Linked DNA regions of Saccharomyces cerevisiae S288C. The gene in region 3 interacts genetically with the main gene of each other region. Each region holds a gene or a part of one and is shown on either strand. Other genes may lie near its edges. The genes, in order: DAL81, CYC2, PTK2 and HAP5.

The links.
Region 1: mutations in PTK2 (region 3) and DAL81 together harm fitness more than expected from each alone (negative genetic interaction), as found in Saccharomyces cerevisiae (2 studies listed by BioGRID).
Region 2: mutations in PTK2 (region 3) and CYC2 together harm fitness more than expected from each alone (negative genetic interaction), as found in Saccharomyces cerevisiae (3 studies listed by BioGRID).
Region 4: mutations in PTK2 (region 3) and HAP5 together harm fitness more than expected from each alone (negative genetic interaction), as found in Saccharomyces cerevisiae (3 studies listed by BioGRID).

What each region holds. Positions count from the first base shown.
Region 1 is NC_001141.2:397,643-403,782, reverse strand, and holds DAL81 (Dal81p), read right to left. Parts: upstream 4,007-6,140; coding exon 1,094-4,006; downstream 1-1,093. Other genes in the region: MND2 (Mnd2p), read right to left, coding at 1-124; INA22 (Ina22p), read left to right, coding at 292-942; signal peptidase complex catalytic subunit SEC11, read right to left, coding at 4,547-5,050; YIR021W-A (uncharacterized protein), read right to left, coding at 5,057-5,269; MRS1 (Mrs1p), read right to left, coding at 5,398-6,140. UniProt on the Saccharomyces cerevisiae protein: Positive regulation of genes required for catabolism of GABA (UGA4, UGA1, and UGA2), urea (DUR1 and DUR2), arginine and allantoin.
Region 2 is NC_001147.6:398,913-403,155, forward strand, and holds CYC2 (oxidoreductase), read left to right. Parts: upstream 1-2,642; coding exon 2,643-3,743; downstream 3,744-4,243. Other genes in the region: SHE4 (She4p), read right to left, coding at 1-1,192; SNAP receptor PEP12, read left to right, coding at 1,436-2,302; HIR2 (Hir2p), read right to left, coding at 3,849-4,243. UniProt on the Saccharomyces cerevisiae protein: Redox component that participates in c-type cytochrome biogenesis in the mitochondrial intermembrane space. May play a role in the reduction of heme prior to its ligation to apocytochrome c by cytochrome c heme lyase. Has oxidoreductase activity in vitro.
Region 3 is NC_001142.9:543,792-549,681, forward strand, and holds PTK2 (protein kinase PTK2), read left to right. Parts: upstream 1-1,995; coding exon 1,996-4,452; downstream 4,453-5,890. Other genes in the region: CDC8 (bifunctional thymidylate/uridylate kinase), read left to right, coding at 271-921; APS2 (Aps2p), read right to left, coding at 941-1,384; CBF1 (Cbf1p), read left to right, coding at 4,968-5,890. UniProt on the Saccharomyces cerevisiae protein: Essential determinant for high-affinity spermidine transport. Required for the activation of the plasma membrane proton pump PMA1 via phosphorylation of 'Ser-899'.
Region 4 is NC_001147.6:1,008,132-1,011,807, reverse strand, and holds HAP5 (Hap5p), read right to left. Parts: upstream 1,648-3,676; coding exon 919-1,647; downstream 1-918. Other genes in the region: VTS1 (Vts1p), read right to left, coding at 1-619; SNX3 (Snx3p), read left to right, coding at 2,096-2,584; CIR2 (electron-transferring-flavoprotein dehydrogenase), read right to left, coding at 2,692-3,676. UniProt on the Saccharomyces cerevisiae protein: Acts a component of the CCAT-binding factor, which is a transcriptional activator and binds to the upstream activation site (UAS2) of the CYC1 gene and other genes involved in mitochondrial electron transport and activates their expression.

The DNA.
Region 1 (6,140 bases), on a different chromosome or scaffold from region 3:
TTACATGCTGGTTCTTCTTACTTCGGAGATCTCTCATGTTATATCTCTCATGCTTGGCTCCTGCCGAATTTTGATCCTTTCTTATATCATTGAATAATGATATATCCCTCAACGCTCTTGCCATTGCTTTGTCTTCTCTTCGCCGCTGTTTATGGTTGTCGGTATTCTGATGTGGCGTAGCACAGTTGAACTATTTTACGCATCCTCTAATTTACATCTTATGTGATATAATGAGCAGGGAAAAAGTAACAACAAGGAAAGACAAGTCATACGTAAAAGGTGTAAGGAAAAATGTTTATGGCAAGACAAGTGTTAAGAAATGGTCTATTTTTAAGGAGCCTTGCTCCCATAAAGATAACCGCTAGAACTGTTGCATCAGCAAATGCGGGCATTAAGAGAAAGTCAAGATTTGATAAAACAATGATCAAACCTTTACTTTTGGTAATGATATTTGGGTCGATATTAAACGCAGTAATAGCCGAGAAAAGGAACATTATTGATATGGAAAGGAAATATAAGCTAAAACTTGATAAATTGAAAGAGCTGATACGGAGGGTTCATGATAATAATGGAAAGGTAGACTTCGACGCAGATGATGAATTGAAACTTGTGAATTTGCGTTTAGGAATCGTCGGCAAGAACGCAACTGGGATGAAGGAAGATGAGACTGATATTGTGGTTCCTAAGGAAGAGTCATTGGAAGAGATCTGGCAAAGTATAATAGACGAGGCAAAAAAAGAAGTAATCGAAAAAACTCCAGATGCTGGCGTTAAGAACAAAGAAGGGATTGTCACTGATTTGAATGTTCTAAAAGATTTAGAAAAGTCGAAAAAAGAAGATGAAAAGGTTTACCTAAGTGGTGATGTCCATATGATGATGAACCAACCAGGTGATTTGAATGAAATCGCCAAAGAACATGATAAAATCCCAAAATTTCTATAGTAGGCTCTATGCATCCGGATATACCACATGTAAATATAACGCAAGCGAATAAATAATTTTACATTCACCACTCAGTAACCTTGGTCCTGCAGAAGATATTTCTATATAGTTATTACCGTATTCCATTTTTACTTATGTGCTATTATTTATATTACAGAGGGGTTTCCCTTGTGTTAATTGTTACATTTTTATCATCATTCATTTTTATAGTTTGGTTACCAGTTGCGCTTGTTTCCTGGTTCGAGTTTGGATTATCGTCCTTGAGTTCCGTTGATGATTCCTCGTTGGCGGTTCTTTCTCTTCCTGCTGTTTTTTCATCTGCAGCGTCACCTGACTCTTGTCTGGTTTCGTTAATTGAGGTCAAGGGAGAAGCATTCATTTGTGTATTAGAGTTGACATTTGTGCTGGAATTGACTCTTGGTGAAGATGTATTAGAGGGGGGGTGTCTGCTCATATGAGAGGGCGTAACATTTGGTGAAGATTGTGAAGTTTTTTTAGAAGACTTATTTGGCGCAAATGGTAAAGGCGTGTTGTTGCTATTATTATTAGCACTATTTATGGCTGGACTTCCCTGCGATTCTAGTTGTGTTTGTCTGGAAGTGGGGTTTACTGGCGTTGTTGTACTGGTCGTACCGTTGGGAAAGGAGTTTAGTTGTTGCAAGATTTCCTGGGGCAAATTCTTCCACTGGTTTAAAGGAGATCCTTGCTCGGTCATGGCAGGTGATCCCACGTTAAATTGTATTGGGATTTGCGATTGTACACCTGACCTTTGTGGGTTAACGGAATTGATGTTAGAGTTAGGGCTCACGACCACCGGTTCATCGGTCAGAAGACCAGGAATTTGTGCAAATAGTAAATGCATATTATTCAAAGCATTCGATAGTTTATCAAAGTATTTGGAACCTATCTTCAATACCCAGGTATAATTTCTAACATAATCTCTGAAAATCATAGCCTCTTCCTTCGTAGCTGAAGTCACATACAGCAGGGCAGCAAATGTTCCAATTAGCATCAGATTTCCAGTTGAGCAGTTATACCAAAAAGCATTAATATGTTCGTTTTTTAGATCTCTTATAAATTCAATTGCTGCTACAAGCCTGGTTCTTGCAGCAGTCCTGCATACTTGAACCAGTTCCTTTGGAGTTTGAGGATTCAAGGCACAGATAATTTTCCTATGTAACGTAATTTCCGTGGCAAAATAAGCTAGAGTTAAAGTTGAATTTGAGTTCAATTTTTGTGGCGTGGCATAACTCATTGACAAATTCTTGGGTAGGGAATGGTACCATTCTCTTAATTTCAGTTGCAACGGCTTTGCCAGTTTCAATACCTGTTCAATGCTTTTGTTTATTGTCATGGATCCCTGAGTGTAAAATGTGTCCATGATTTCCCCAAGAATTATACTCAAGGAAACCATTTGTTGAAACATAAGCGTTCCATTCTTGAAATCTTCTAAAGTGGGGTTTATGTTAAATATGGGCAAGTTACCAAATGCTATCTGATGGTTTTTCACATCATTTGATGACGAGGGTGAAGACCCCGACTGGTCATTTTGCAAGGAATTTAAAATAGTGGGCGAATTCAGAGGAAAATCATCAAAGTTTAATAGCTTGATCATCCAGTTCCTACCTAAAATTAAATGGGATTGTCTACCTTCGTTTAATGCACACCATTTATCCATCAACCAAACTGCCCACGCTAATCTCTTTCTCAAATCTTTTTCCCATTTGGGAAGTTTCCAATCATTACATTCAACCCCGAGCCCCAATTCCTCTGCAAGGGCCACTACGCTGGAGCAGAGGACCCAGTTGTTATGACATTCACTACGGCATTGCAAAATCAAAAGGCCTGTTTGTATAATGCTCAATTTTGGCCTTCCAACTCGAGCATAAAATGTTTCCAATGCGATATTGTTTAGTTGAGCAGTTACATCGGGTTTAGGGAACCCCAAAAGTGCAGGATGAAAATCCCAATATTGTAATGCCAGTGAGTAAATGGATGCCAGTAAAGGCGCAGTGAGTTCTCTATAAGATCTAGAATACTTTTCCAAAAATACACGTTCGTGTAAAATTGGAAGAAAAGGATGAATCAATTTGAAGAAAATCTCTACTAAAAGGTGACCGTGCGGATGTACCAGATTTTCGACCAAATCAACTTCGTATTCTTGCTTACTATGAAGGGTCGTGTCAAAATCGTCCTGAAGAATAAACTGTGCGGTAGGAGACACCTTTCTTAATGATAAAGTTTTTGATAGCTGTATTTGGTCAACATTATCTAGTCTTACATGCTTGGTCAAGTTCAAATCGAAAACTGAGGCCGGACCGACGAAAAAAGAGGATCTGGGGTATTGTATACGCTGTTGCTGCTGTTGCTGTTGCTGCTGCTGTTGATGTCTATAGAGCATGCTACTGGGTAAGCGATTCGAATAGTCTTCAAAATTTTTCATTCGTTTGGAGTTTGAAGAGGTTGGCATGTTATTGTTTGCCCCAGAGGACGTTCTTTTCAAATAATTTGGAGCAATACTGAAGGTGCATTTAGTTCTTGACGTTTCACATTCGAGACAGTTGCCTAGGTCGGGAAAATAGTTGCACTTTGTTTTCTTTAATCTACATTGATTGCAAGATCCCATCAGATTACCGGGACTAGATATGTCATTATTGTTGTTATTATTGTTGCTATTACTGCCATTATGATCTGCGCTGTTACTAACATTGTCATCAAAGGCTATTGCATTATCACTCTTGGAGAGTAAACTTTGATAATGGTGCAAAAGGGTATCCAGGCTCTGTTGTTGCTGCTGTTGTTGCTGCTGTTGTTGCTGTTGTTGCTGCTGCTGATGCTGTTGTTGTTGTGATCCTCCTTTCTCCCTCAGTATATTAGGATGGTCGTTTGCCAAATGTTGCAGAATGGTAGTATAGTTATCATTAAAATTCAGTATATCATGGTTACTGTTATTATTGCTGTTGTTGCTATTGACATTATTATTCGTGGACGAATTTTTAGTGGTTGCCTTCACGCTCTTCGTAGGCGATGCGGCATTATCAGCTGGTGATTGGTGAGGGTCCATTTGATAGTATGGCTGCCTGTCGTTCTGCCGCTCGTCTAAACAGGCCAAGAGTTTTTAAGATCTACACTATTATTTGAAAATGATTCTTATCATCTATTATTTTCAATCACCATGTACGATTGTTATGTTTCATATAATACCCATCGCGATGGATATTATATGAGTATTATTAGCTCGAATCTTGGACTGCTTCTGCTCTACCTATACACTGATTGTACAATTCTATATGCTTATGCAGCTTAGACCATTTTTTATTCGAGAAGTTAAACCTAGCGGTCTCAATTACCGACACATATGCCTTTTCAAGATATCGAGTTAATGAGCGACGGTATCACCTTATAAAAAATGACACAAATCATCTCTGTTGAATTGCCTACATCACTGTGGGAGCTCCTTTTTCAATAATTCTCAAAGCGTGTCCTAAGACAATATTTTGTTTTCAGCGTGGACCGAATGGTTATGGTTATATAATTAAACAAGTTAAAGACCATAAGCACAAATACAAAGTACGTAAACATCGTTCCAAAAAAACTTGGCGAACTACTCGCCCCCCAGCAGAGCACTCAACCCCAACATACCTAACAATGCAAACTTGGCATATTTGTTCTCGCTAATCCAAATCGTAATGTACCCTAGTTGTGGAAAGTAGCCCTTGACGGTCCCTACAATCTCCTTTGACTTGTTCAAGTAAATTTTCTTATTAGCATATAGTGAGATATCATTGCCGGCGTTATTGTCACCTTTGGTCAGGAGGAATTGCTTGTCCGCGTGATTGTTATGTTGCCTCAAAACTCTATGCACAATGGGGATTTGTTTCCCTTCGACCTCATACACCACGACATCACCTACTTGGTTGAAAGTATTTCTATTCCATAGGAAAAGGATATCACCCCTTTGGAAAGCTGGTTCCATGGAGCCTGAAAGCACCACCACGATCGGAGAAGCGCTATTAGTAGCAATGGCTAAGCCTTGCCAGAACATGTAAGCAGATGCAAACAAAAAGCAAACGTTCAATAGTTTCTGCAATTCAAATCTTAGATTCATCTTGTGCTAACTCCCTTGGGGTTTACTTTCCGGTATATTTCTGTAGTATATTGTTTCTGCACCATTTATTTCCTTGGAGATTATTTTTTTGAAATCGCTTTTGCCAATGGAAAAAAGTATACGTATGGTAATAATAATAAGAGCAACAGCGCTCTCTGAAATAGAAGATACCAGCAGCTTCGTGGTCTTGGGAGTCTTGCAGCTGACAGAGAATGACATTGTTGTGCAGGTGTGTCACATAAGATCTGGAAAAAACCAACAGCTACAGAAAGAACCGCCCTCACGGAGAATAAAGTCAATAGTAGCTTTTTTTTACGTACTTTCTATTTACATGCTATATAAGAGGATTATATCTTTGCGCCTTTGAGAAACTTTGAGGAACCGGCCTGAAAATGTTGTAGATTGAGCTTTTCTTGCTTAACGTAGTCGTTGAATTGCTTTAGGACGCCTGAGTCCAACCTACCATTGTCCTTCATCACAATGTCAACGAGGTTGCTATACGTACGAAGAACTTTACTCGACTCCATAGTAGCGAGAAACACCTCTGTCATATCAGATGCATCTTTTCCTGTGTCCAGGGAAAGACAATCCTTCAGGGAGAAGTTTAGGCCCGTTGTCGAGGATAGTATGGGGAATTTAAGTTTCCAGCCTTTATCCAAATGAAGACACATTAGCGGGTCGATGTCATTATCGAAGGCGGATCGCAGTAATCGCTTGGTGACAACCTCCTTTATAGTGGCACGTACCACCGGATCGTACATCTGATATTCTCGAGGTACAGAAATGGAAGGGTTTTCCTTTAATGAGACTCTTATGGGAGTCAATTCGCACCAGAAGGTGTCAATGAATTCAGGATTGCAGACAGCTGCAAGCAAACGAGCTTTTTCATTGGTAGAAGTTACGTACACTCCTTGGCATTTCGCGTATAGTAGGTGTTCTAGGATGTTTGATTGCAGTTTACAATTAAAATCCACCAGGTCTGATCGCTCTCTTTCTATAGAAACAAGATTCGTCATATTAGGAGATACACCAAGAATCGATATGATCTTTTCAGTTGCAAACAGTGTATCAACAGGTAGTAAACTGATAT
Region 2 (4,243 bases), on a different chromosome or scaffold from region 3:
TTTTAATCATAGTTAATAGAATTTCAGTAAAGCTCTCGTTACTCCTAATCATAATCTTAACCGAGGCCTTTAGACTTAAATATGCCAGCGCTTCAACGGACATTTCAACTTTAGGAACCTCCTCGAGCTTAACCGCACTTTCATTGACATTTTCAATTTTTGGCATGATACGTCTTGAAATAGCGTTTATAAAGATTTCGGACAGTTGCTTCAAGTTTATACACGTTAATTTTGTGAAAGACCATGTCTTAACTAACACCAATGCAGAATATATTTGTACATCTTCCACGTTTAGTGATCTTTCCAATAGTTGAAGGTAATTTTCTGTAATATACGTTCTCATGGTCTCATCAATACACGCGGAAGATAATAACCGCAGCAGTTCTTTTGTAAACTGTAAATCCTGCTCTTCGAATACTCTCTTCTTAAAAAGCTTACTTAGTCCTTTGGTCAAAAATATTTCAGAACAAAGTGTTGTCAATGAAGGATATAATTCTGATAGGGTTTTGACTATGATGGACAATGGATCATTTCCAACGTCTATTTCTGCCTCCACAATTAAGCTACTCATGAAATCGACCACTGCTTTATCAAAGTCTTTTTGGAAGCTTGATTGTAATTCAGCAAAAATTATAAGCATCATCGATTTTACTTCATCTTCGCTTATGCGCAAAATAAGTTCCTTCACTAAAAATCGCACCTCCTTGAAATTGTACTTGAACTTATTCAATAGTTGTAGAATTATGCTCAGTAAATACGTGACGTGGGTGTCCTCGCCATAGTGTATCCTAATTTGCAGCTCATTTAACAATGCAATTGTTGCGTCTTTATTGGAAAAGCAACCAACGAAAACGTGGATGGATGATCTTGATAATATTTCAAATAAATTGAGTGCGAAGGGAATATCATTCTGTATAAGTTTAGATAAATGTACGCGGGACTCAGAATGGTCTTGGTAAGACCTGGTCAATATTTCTTCGATTTTCTGACGATCTTTAAGGGCTTCACTATTCGTTAAATCAGCCGGCATTTTCCCAGATTCAGATTTTTGCCTTAGCTGGAAAATTGTATTTATAGCATCATTGTATTTTTGGACATCAGGGGTGGATTTCAAAGTCTTGTCAAATGCAGCGCAGAGGCTATCAATAGTAGAGCTATCGATTGGATCATTCCCTTTCTCACACAGTGGCATCGTGATTCTAATTTTTTAGTAATCTTTTCATGTGAGTAGTTTAGATAAAACGTCTTCACTATTAAGTAGAAGATTCGTAATTGGATTTAAGCCTTCGTGCCTTATCGCGGCTGATAATCATCATGATCGACGATGAACTACTGCGCCAGAGTATAATCCCCTATAAAACAGGCCTGCTATCACTCCAAAGAGAATGCTTTTATAGAAGAATATAACGTAAATTACTACAATAATTGTGTTGAGATGTCGGAAGACGAATTTTTTGGTGGTGATAATGAAGCCGTTTGGAACGGTTCCAGATTCAGTGATTCACCTGAGTTCCAAACGTTGAAAGAAGAGGTTGCTGCAGAGTTATTTGAAATAAATGGGCAAATAAGCACGCTGCAGCAGTTTACCGCGACACTTAAGTCATTTATAGATCGGGGAGATGTTAGTGCGAAAGTTGTGGAAAGAATTAATAAGAGATCTGTGGCAAAGATAGAAGAAATAGGCGGGCTCATTAAAAAGGTCAATACATCAGTGAAAAAGATGGATGCGATTGAGGAAGCTAGCCTGGATAAGACTCAAATAATAGCGAGAGAGAAACTTGTGAGGGATGTCAGTTACTCTTTTCAAGAGTTTCAAGGTATTCAGCGGCAGTTTACCCAAGTAATGAAACAAGTTAATGAAAGAGCAAAAGAATCTCTTGAAGCAAGTGAGATGGCAAATGATGCTGCTTTATTAGATGAAGAACAAAGGCAGAATAGCTCAAAAAGTACTCGAATACCAGGCAGCCAAATAGTCATTGAGAGAGACCCGATAAATAACGAAGAGTTTGCTTATCAGCAAAATCTTATCGAGCAAAGAGACCAGGAAATCAGCAATATTGAAAGAGGTATAACGGAACTGAACGAAGTTTTTAAAGATTTGGGAAGTGTTGTTCAACAGCAGGGTGTGCTAGTTGACAATATTGAAGCAAATATTTATACAACGTCAGATAACACTCAATTGGCTTCAGACGAGCTAAGGAAGGCCATGCGGTACCAAAAACGTACGAGCAGATGGAGGGTGTATTTGTTGATTGTGCTTCTCGTAATGCTTCTTTTTATTTTTCTCATTATGAAATTGTAAACCAAACCAACACACGTCGTCAAATATCATATACATAATATATACACTTAAAACAGATTCGTGTTAATGAACTTGTTTTGCACTTTCACTGTACAATGCATGGGCTCTCTCATAATATTTCTACGCCGTCGCATCTTAACCAGCCGCAAAGAGAGAGTATATTCCATAATTCAGTTTTTCGCCTTTCCTTGCCCTTCTGAAATGTTGTTAATATCATCATACCCTAATGAAGAGTGAAAATTCACTTAACCCAAGTGAAAAATACAACTTCGAAGAGTGCAACGTGTTGAAAGAACCCTTCAAAAATAGAAAAGAGGAAACGAAAAAAAGAAAAAGTAGCATGCTGTGGAAAAATTATGTTCTATCCAGTTCCCGAATAACACGTAGGCTTCATAAGTCACCTAGAAAGAGCAGCTTCTCTAAGAACTTTTTTATCACAGGCTGCCTACTGACAGTTGGAGCAGTAAGCAGTTATTTAACCTACAGGTACACAAGTGAGAGGGAAAACAAACATGAGTTATCTCCATCTTATTTTGTCAAGTACAAGATTTCACACAAGCGAGATATTGATTCATCACATTTTTTATTGGAAGTAACTCCGTTGTTTAAGCAGAAAGTTAACATATGGTCATTGATGACTGCGGAAAATCTGTGGTCCGTCGAGATCAAACAACCGGAAGTCATGGTGGTCCGCAATTATACGCCTCTACCGCTTAAATTTAACCCAGCTTCAAAAGAGATTGAAATCTTAAAAGATGGTGACAATGCAGATGGAAAATTATCTTTCTATATTAAGAAGTATGAGAATGGAGAAGTTGCAAGATGGTTACACCATCTTCCCAAGGGACATATAATTGAAATAAGAGGCCCGTTTATCGATTATGAGTTTCCTCATTTGCCTAATGAGCTAAAAAGATCTCGCGATTGTTTATACATGGATAATCGCAATGAAAGGGGCAATAACGTTAGAGAAAATTCCCAATTTATTTACCAGCCTTATGACATAATGATGTTCACCGCTGGTACCGGAATAGTTACTGCGTTGCAACTACTTTTGACTGAATCACCATTTAGAGGTACTATAAAGTTATTTCATACGGATAAGAACATTAAACAACTGGGACCCTTGTATCCTATCCTTTTAAGACTTCAAGCTTCAAACAGGGTCCAGTTAAAAATTTTTGAAACAGACCGACAAACTAAACAAGACGTATTGAAAAGTATCCAGAAATCAATCACGAAGCCCTACCCATACAAAGGTCTGCTCCCCTTTTCCAACGTTAACAACAAGAATATTATGCCTGTGTTGGCATTGGTATGCGGCCCCGAAAGTTATATTAGTAGCATATCTGGAAGAAAATACGATCTTAATCAGGGACCAGTAGGAGGGTTACTTTCCAAAGAAGGCTGGAACTCCGATAATGTGTATAAACTTTCATAATTTAACGTTCGAGATTAAGAAGGCAATTACAATAATATTACATACTGTAGATAATGAATATAATGAAAAATATAAGAGTTTAAACTATACATTGTTAAAGCCAAACTAAGATATTATATTCATTTCCTTGGCATAACGTGTAGTAACTCTTTGAACCTGTCTGATATCACCGCATGCAATTAGTATCTTTTTTAGAAGGTTCCTCTTAAAATCTTTATCGGCAAATGCTGACCCGGTACCACTGATGGGGAGATCATCATATAACCATTGAAAAACATCGTTCAAACGGTCCATATACCCCAATTCACTCAGACGGATGCAATAAACCATCATTAGCTTCGAAAACTCTTCAGGCTCCTCCAATCTGATACTTATTAGGATTTTATTTTCCAGGTGAGACAAAGTTACGATCTCCTCCATATTTTCAAATCCCTCTTTCATTAATATTGTCCTAGCAAATCTCTGTAAATTCTTAATCCTACCCTTTCTATTAAGTTCGT
Region 3 (5,890 bases):
TTCCACGGGTCCATTTTTATAATTACGAAATAATTGTGCATTGGTAACAAAGGGAGAAAGCGATATCCTAAACTAGTAGGTTACAGTTGATAATATAAAAAGTTGGAAAATAGCTTAGAAATGAAGAAGAGAATAACGGCTTCTATGCGGTTGTGACTTTTGACGCGTTAGGCGTGGTGCTAAAGATGGCGAAAAAATGTAACGTCTTCCCAAGAAGTACGCTTCTAAACTAAATATGATTCATAGTGGACAGAAAGATCACCATTTTGAATGATGGGTCGTGGCAAATTAATACTGATAGAAGGATTGGATAGGACTGGTAAAACCACGCAATGTAATATTCTTTACAAAAAATTGCAACCAAACTGTAAACTATTGAAGTTCCCCGAAAGGTCTACCCGAATCGGAGGACTCATAAACGAATATTTGACGGATGATAGTTTCCAATTATCAGATCAGGCAATTCACCTCTTGTTTTCGGCAAATAGATGGGAAATAGTTGACAAGATAAAGAAAGATTTACTAGAAGGCAAGAACATTGTCATGGACAGATATGTTTATTCTGGAGTGGCATATTCTGCCGCTAAGGGGACAAATGGAATGGATTTGGATTGGTGCTTGCAACCCGATGTAGGGTTGCTGAAACCGGATTTGACATTATTTTTAAGCACTCAAGATGTCGACAATAACGCCGAAAAATCTGGATTTGGTGACGAAAGATACGAAACTGTTAAGTTTCAAGAAAAAGTGAAGCAAACTTTTATGAAGCTATTGGATAAAGAGATAAGGAAAGGCGATGAGTCAATCACGATTGTAGACGTTACTAATAAGGGCATTCAGGAAGTTGAAGCGCTTATTTGGCAAATCGTTGAGCCTGTTTTGAGTACGCATATTGATCATGATAAATTTTCGTTCTTCTAGGAGGATCTGTACATATATCCTAGTCTAGTCTATCTAAAATACTTAGTCTTTCTAACAGCATATCCTTTGAAATTTCTTGTATTTCCCCTCCAATAAACATCTCGTCCATTATCATATAGACTTTGTAAAAGTTGAATACGATATCCAGTTCACAGACATTGCCGAAAAATGCATCTAGCACCTCCACAAACAGATGGATGTGGCACAAATATATGGGTTCATCGTCAAGTAAGTCCACACCCATGACAAAATACAGACCCGCATACCTCCTGTATATGAGTTTCGTCGAATCGGAAAACTCTACGAAGTTACTCTGATGCTTATGATCTCTGGAAGATATGAGTCTATAAATCTGCGCAATGGCATCCTGGCTACGCTGAGGATCCGAACTGTGTACATCGAACCATCTCACCAACCGCACCACACCCTGCTTATTAAAGCACAGTATAAACTGTACTGCCATTTTTTTTATCCCTTACAGCAAACAAGTCTCCGTTCTTCACAAAATAACAGCACCAAACGCTATCTCAAGGCAAACGTTCTTAATGTACCTACTGAATAAACCATTCCTCCCCGTTTGTATCAAAAGTATCCGAAACTGTTCTATGCGTGCAAAATGATATGTCTTGCAAAACTATTGGAAAGACCCTTCCACTACAGGTACAGTTTAGAAATGCCGGAGCTGCAAGTACTACGTGCCGGCAGCATGATAAACATACCCGCGTCCTATAGCCATTCAAGCCTACATATATGGTATATACAACATGAACGCTTTAGTACGGTCACCCCATCTACAAGCATAACCTCTTGGGCAAAGGCGCAAATAGTTGCCACGTGCGAGTGCGGTGCATGGGTGGCTGTCTTTTCGTCATTGGCACGACCCCTTGCAGGTGGGAGGTAGAACCAAATAATATCCGGTTGACGGTAAAAGCAGGTTTATATATAGTGTTAAAGAAAGGTATTGTCACATCCCGTCGCTACCCTTATCCAAACCACGATATCGCACGCACACCAGGAAAGTAAAGTTGTGTAAGCCGTAGCAGTTTTTTACAGGTTAACCGATTGAATAAGATAATGGCGGGAAACGGTAAGGACAAAGAGGTAGATAAAAGTCCCTCTGTTAGTACTTTGAAACTATTGGGAAAACGCCTGTTTAATTCCAGCAGTCACACGGATAACTCTTCGTTACTGCTTAGTGCCGAACAATTGGGCAATGGGAGAAGTTTAAGAAAAAGGCCAACGTCTCCGTCCATTAGTGGCAGTGGTAGCGGTGGTAATTCACCTTCGTCTTCTGCTGGGGCACGGCAGAGATCTGCTTCTTTACATAGAAGAAAAAACAATGCTTCTGTAGGATTTTCAAATGGGTCTGTGTCGTCACACAAGTCCTCTGTCGCATTGCAGGACTTAATTAAACATAATAATAACCCTTACTTGAACTCTCCCTCTGATATTCTGGGCACAGGTACTGGCATTGCCTCGACAAGAGATAGGGATAGAGCAGTTTTGGATAGAGAAAAGGAAAAAGAAAGGGCGAGAAACAAAGAAAGAAATACTCATCACGCGGGCTTACCGCAAAGGTCTAATAGCATGGCTAGTCACCATTTTCCCAACGAGAATATAGTTTATAATCCATACGGCATAAGCCCAAACCATGCTAGGCCAGATACTGCATTTGCAGACACTCTGAATACGAATAAGGAGAACGATTTGAGTTTTTACATGCATGATGGTAACAGCAAGATACGGATGTTGCCCCTTCCAATTGCTAATCCGAACGATTTTTTGCCCGAAGATATGAAACAATATAGTGTCCATTTAACGGATAATTTCGTATTTGATACGGACAATAAACCTATTGGTTCGGGTGGGTCTAGTGAAGTTAGAAAGGTTAAATCAAGTTACAGGCAAAAGGATGTTTACGCTCTAAAAAAACTGAATATGATATACCACGAGTCACCCGAGAAGTTTTACAAGAGATGCTCCAAAGAATTCATCATAGCTAAGCATTTAAGTCATAACGTTCACATCACGAATACTTTTTATCTTCTAAAAGTTCCCACGACCACATATACAACTCGTGGTTGGGGGTTTATTATGGAACTAGGTGTTAAGGACCTCTTCCAACTGATGGAAAGAACAGGCTGGAAGAACGTTCCCTTCAATGAAAAATATTGTCTTTTCAAACAAGTGGCCCAAGGTATTAAGTTTTGTCATGACAATGGTATTGCTCACCGTGATTTGAAGCCCGAAAATGTTTTAATTTCTAAAGAAGGTATATGCAAATTGACGGATTTCGGTATTTCTGATTGGTACCATGTGATACCTCATGACTACACTAGTCCAGTGAAAACATGCCAAGGTATGATTGGCTCTCCACCATACACTCCGCCAGAGGTAATGTACTTCGATGCCAAGAAGCACTACCCCGAAAAGTTCCAAAAACCCTATAATCCGTTGGCCATGGATTCCTATGCCCTCGGAATCATGCTGATTACCATGATTAACAATATCATCCCCTTCATCGATTCTTGTAACACTGATGCGAGATTCAGGGAATTTGAAGTGTCATATGACAACTTCATCAATCATCAAAACCCACATTTCAGGGACAAGGGCTGCCACAAGCCGGGTCCTGGTTCCGAATACTCTTTAGCAAGAAATTTCAAGAATACTGATGCCACGCGTATCGCATGGAGATTGGCTGACCCGAACCCTGCAACTAGATATACAATGGATGATTTATTTAATGATCCGTTTTTCCAACAAATTGAAACATGTGTCGAGCCAAATGATGATGACTTAGTAAGGGTTCCTGAATTAAGGAAAAGTACTTCTACCAATGATTTTAGTGAAAATTCATTAGATGCACCCCATGATCAAGAGGTCATTCACACGTCTAATCCATTCCTAAAAAAGGAAACGCTCACTTCTAAACCAAGATCGATGTTGGAAATTGCAGAATCTCCTTCCTTGAAACAAAAATCCAAGGTAAAAGATAGCGCAAAGACCAAAACACACGATGTTGGGGATGAAGGGGGGAATGAAAGCACCAAACCTAAGCAGCAAGATAAAAAGGAAAATTTGAAGAAAGATGAGGTCAAGAACGGCGACAAGGACAAAGTCATTGAAGAGGCTACCACGACTAATGTGGACAGCATATTGGAAAAACCAACACCAACCTCCACAAAAGTAGAGGACAACTTAAGCGAAGATGATTCCACAATGAAGGAATTAAAGTCGATGCTAAACTCCACCCCTACTACACCAACACATAATGGCCCCACTCCGCTCCCTGCAAAGGCTGGCACTCAATTAGATAAGCGTATGAGCGACCTATCACTCAAATCGGAAACACCGGCTTCTACAAAGAACTTTAGCGCACCGAATGTTTCGTCATCAAGCAATTCACTGAGAAGCCTCGGAAGTCCAAGCGTGTCATCCTCGAAAAAGAAGAAGGTAATTCACCACCACTTGGACATTACCAACAGCGTTACAAACATGTCATCCGTGAGCGCCTTTATCTCAAGATAGACGTTAGGACTTCTTTAATTCCCTCTTTTATGCTTTAGTATCGTCATATTCTTTCATACCCTTCCTTATAAGCTTTTTATATAAAATATCCCACCGGGAAAAGATAAAGAACGGAAGATAAATCAAACAATGAAATAAAGCACACACATATAAATCCACATATGTACTTATATATTTTACTTCAAACAATAAACAAACATTTTATTATTTATTTTTCCCGTACATCGATGTACGTGATCGGTTTTTCTCATTCCTCTCGGATCCTTCGGGACCACCATGTCTCACCCACCAAGGTCAAAAAAAAAATAAAATCGGACGAGAAAAGTATTGGGCAAACAACAATTATCCACGTGCTTATCACGTTTTTTTATTTAATGTAGAATGTAAACCATTATACCTTAAAGATAAACACTTTGTTAATTAATCATTTTAGTTGGCGGTCATTTTCATTTCTGCTACAAGTACCAACATCAAGTGCTTAAAATATAATACGGTTTTCTACACTTTTATTAACGATGAACTCTCTGGCAAATAATAATAAGCTTTCTACTGAGGATGAGGAAATCCATTCGGCAAGAAAAAGAGGCTATAACGAGGAGCAGAACTACAGCGAGGCCAGGAAAAAGCAAAGAGATCAAGGCTTGTTGTCACAAGAGAGCAATGACGGAAATATTGACTCTGCTCTGTTGAGCGAAGGGGCTACGCTAAAAGGGACTCAAAGTCAGTATGAAAGCGGACTGACGTCTAACAAAGATGAGAAAGGAAGTGATGACGAAGATGCGTCAGTGGCTGAGGCTGCTGTTGCCGCTACCGTCAATTATACAGACTTAATCCAGGGCCAGGAAGATAGTTCTGATGCCCACACATCTAATCAAACGAACGCGAATGGTGAGCACAAGGATTCCCTTAATGGGGAAAGAGCCATAACCCCATCAAATGAAGGAGTCAAGCCAAACACCTCCCTGGAGGGAATGACGTCTTCACCAATGGAATCTACACAGCAATCTAAAAACGACATGCTCATACCATTGGCAGAACACGATCGTGGGCCAGAACACCAACAGGATGATGAAGACAATGATGACGCTGACATTGATCTCAAAAAGGATATAAGCATGCAGCCGGGTCGTCGTGGAAGAAAACCTACTACTTTGGCCACAACAGACGAGTGGAAAAAGCAAAGAAAAGACTCCCATAAAGAAGTCGAAAGGCGTCGCCGCGAAAACATCAACACTGCAATCAACGTTTTAAGCGACCTCCTGCCCGTGAGAGAATCAAGTAAGGCAGCAATATTGGCGTGTGCCGCTGAATACATTCAAAAATTGAAAGAAACCGATGAAGCAAACATCGAAAAGTGGACGTTACAAAAATTGCTTAGCGAGCAAAACGCATCGCAATTAGCCAGTGCAAATGAGAAACTGCAGGAAGAACTGGGAAA
Region 4 (3,676 bases), on a different chromosome or scaffold from region 3:
GTTGGCTGCTGTTCAGCATGGATATCCAAGAACATAATTGGTTGATGTCTTGGCTGAAATTGGTGCCCATGTTCGGATCGTTTTTTTGGGATTGAGACTGTTGTTGCGATTGACGGGATTGCGGCAAAGGAATTGAACCACTCTGCGATGGAATACCCAAAATATTATTTGGAGATCTCTGAAATGAATCCAAATACATAGATGTTGAAGATAAAGTAGATTGCAACGCCTTTGGAGATTGCATCATGGGGGAAACGATAGCAGAACCAGCTGCTGTAGACGAAACTGTTTGAATATTAAGGGAAGGCAACGACGCCTGCTGTTGCTGTTGTTGCTGCTGCTGTTGTTGCTGGAGCGGCTGAGCCCTGGTTCCCGCAGTGTCTAGCATAAAGGATTGCTGATCAAGCATGTCATTGAGTGACATACTATGGGATTGAGGGGACAAAACATTCGCGGTCACGGATGAATTGCCCTGGTTATTGCCAGAATTGCTGCCCGGATTGTTCTTGTTTATGGCAGAAGATTGTGGTGATAGCAAAACGGCGCCTGGATGAGCTCCTCTAGACATGTTATATGGTGACTTGGAACCTGTGGGGAATTCCTCATACGGATGTTTCATGATTTCTTTGCTGACAATTACTTTATATGAACAGTTTTTCTCTTCTGAAAACAATATCTATAGTATATACAGTGATCTAGATTGCCCAAGGGACGAAGTACCAGTGTGACTGCAAAACACAATGTATTCGAGACAATCCTATGGTAGTAGTAGTAGTCGTTGTTAGATATCTCATCGCCAATTTGCTACCAAACTTATTCTGGAAAAAAATAATGAAAAAAATTTGCGTTTTTTCTTTTTCCAACAGATAATTTGCTGTGGTGCACGGTCAAATGGCAGCTGTATAACCATTAACTCTCTCATTGTGGAAGAGGTCTTCTAGGCACAACATCGATGAGAAAGTCAAACATGTCACTCTTTTGCAGGGCCTCTGCGATATCTGCCTTCTGCAAAGTTCGTCTTTTATTCCTTTCTGCCACGCACCAAGCTCTCATAGTCAGTTCTGTAATAAAGATCTCACAGGCTTTGGCGAAAATGATGGGGGCCTCTGCACTAATCATCTTGACATCTTCATCCGTCTTCATGACCTTGCGGATTCTCGCAAATGGTAAGGAATGTGATTTGAAGTCATCTTGATGCTCGGAACCAGGTTCATTCGTAGACTCGATCTCGTTGATTAATTCTTGCCAATAACGGATCATTATCTCCTTGTAGTGGCCCACCAATCCCTGACCAACGTTCCTAAACACATCATACTCTTCATCGTCCTCGTCCATTTCTCCGTCTGCGCCGTCGCTGTTTCCATTATCTTCGCCTTCAAGCGATCCTCGACCACTTGGCGGTAGATTAGCTTGGTCATGGCCCGCCTGGATAGCTTGCAACTCCTGTACCATCCGGAACTCTTCCTCAGAAACAGGTAGCCTCGTATTTTCCCCTTCCCCTTCGTTTTCTTGCAGTTGTTGCTGTTCTGAATATTGCCTTGGCATATTCATTTCCTCTCTCTGAATCATCGTACTGGGTTGCGGTCCCTCCGGGAGCGATTCTTGAGGTCCTTGTCCTTGTTGTGGTGAGAAATTCCTATCAGTCATTATGCGAGTAAACAATCCTGATGCTGCAAATGCGTCACAACTCTTACATTATCTCCTATTCCCCTCTATTCTTCTTCTTTGCTTACGCGGTATTATAGCAGCTAAGGAAGCTTAATCTCCGGAAGCAATCTTAAGGGAGCCGTCCCACGCAAATTTAAGTTTAACTACGGAAAAGGGAGCACAACACTCTTCGATTTTGACATTTCGGGATTTCTACACTCTAGTAAGTATTGCGCTAGGAGGGACCATGATTTACTATGAGGACTTGGCTATGGGGTGCTCAGAATTGCATAAGTGAACTCGAGGATAGCTTTGGGCACTATCACGTACTAAGTGATATGTATTGATATGTAAACCTGCAATGAATGAATGGATTAAAACGGATCTTAATACTGCATAAAAGAGGACGGCAAGAACAGCTGAGAAGCGGTACGCATCTACACAAAGTATGCCAAGAGAATTCAAATCCTTTGGGTCTACAGAAAAGTCTTTGCTGTCAAAAGGACATGGAGAGCCTAGTTACAGCGAAATATACGCTGAGCCTGAGAACTTTTTAGAGATTGAGGTGCACAACCCTAAAACTCATATACCAAATGGGATGGATTCGAAGGGGATGTTTACAGATTACGAAATAATATGCCGTACAAACTTGCCAAGTTTTCACAAGAGGGTATCGAAAGTAAGGAGACGATACTCAGACTTTGAATTCTTCCGCAAATGCTTGATCAAGGAAATTTCTATGCTTAATCACCCAAAAGTCATGGTACCTCATTTACCGGGTAAAATTCTCTTGAGTAATAGATTTAGTAACGAAGTCATTGAAGAGAGGAGACAAGGTTTGAATACCTGGATGCAATCGGTAGCCGGGCACCCGCTTTTACAATCTGGTTCTAAAGTTCTCGTGAGGTTCATTGAAGCTGAAAAGTTTGTCGGCTGAAAAGAACTCTTTTACGTGAATAAATAATATAGATTATATAAAAGAATGAATAGAAAAATTTAAATAAATAATGAATAAAATAATTAAATAAATAATGAATCCTGTGATTAAGTTAGCGTGTACTTTGGTCCATCTCCACCTTCGGGTACTTTCCAAGTAATATCTTGTCTGGGCGCCTTAATATCACAGGTCTTGCAATGGATACAATTTTGTGAATTGATTTGCAGTCTCGTACCCACAGGCGATTTTTCATCTTTGACGAATTCGTAGACACCTGCTGGGCAGAACCTCGATTCAACACCTTTCCAAACGGGAAAGCTTCTCTCGGCGTACTTTACCATATCTTGTCCAGGAACCCTCAAGTGACATGGTTCATCATCATCATGGTAGGTTCCGGTTCTAGACACGGAGGTCAATATATCAAAGGATATCACACCATCAGGCTTGGGGTATTCTATCGGTTTGTACTTGGAAGCAGGTTCCAAAATTTCACCGTCATTTTTTTCATCAAATTTCAGTGTCCACGGAACTTTTCCCTTCAATATCAAAGAATCGATTCCAGAGTAGATCATACCACCATATCCACCAAGTTTCCCGCTGAAGGACGGTCTAATATTACGCACTTCGTATAGTTCCTTATATATCGATGATTCTTTGAATGCACTTTCATATGATTCCAAGTTAATAGTTGCCTCCTTATCAAACATAGCCATTTTGGCGTCTTCGTCTTCAACCTCTTCTAAGACAGGTAACCCTTTTATGGACTCAAAGATACTTTCAGCGGCAAGTAATCCACTCTTCATCGCAGTATGAGTACCCTTGATCTTTGGAACGTTCATGAAACCCGCGCTAGCCCCTACCAAAACACCACCAGGGAAATTCAACTTGGGTACAGATTGCAGTCCACCTTCATTCAATGCTCTTGCAGCATAAGCGATACACTTACCTCCTTCTAAAACTTTTGAATAGTATGGATGATGTTTCATCTTTTGAAACTCTTTGTAAGGTGAAACATAGGGATTCTTATAATCTAACCCCACGACAAGGCCCACAGTGACCAGCCCATCACCAAAATGGTACTGGAAACCACCG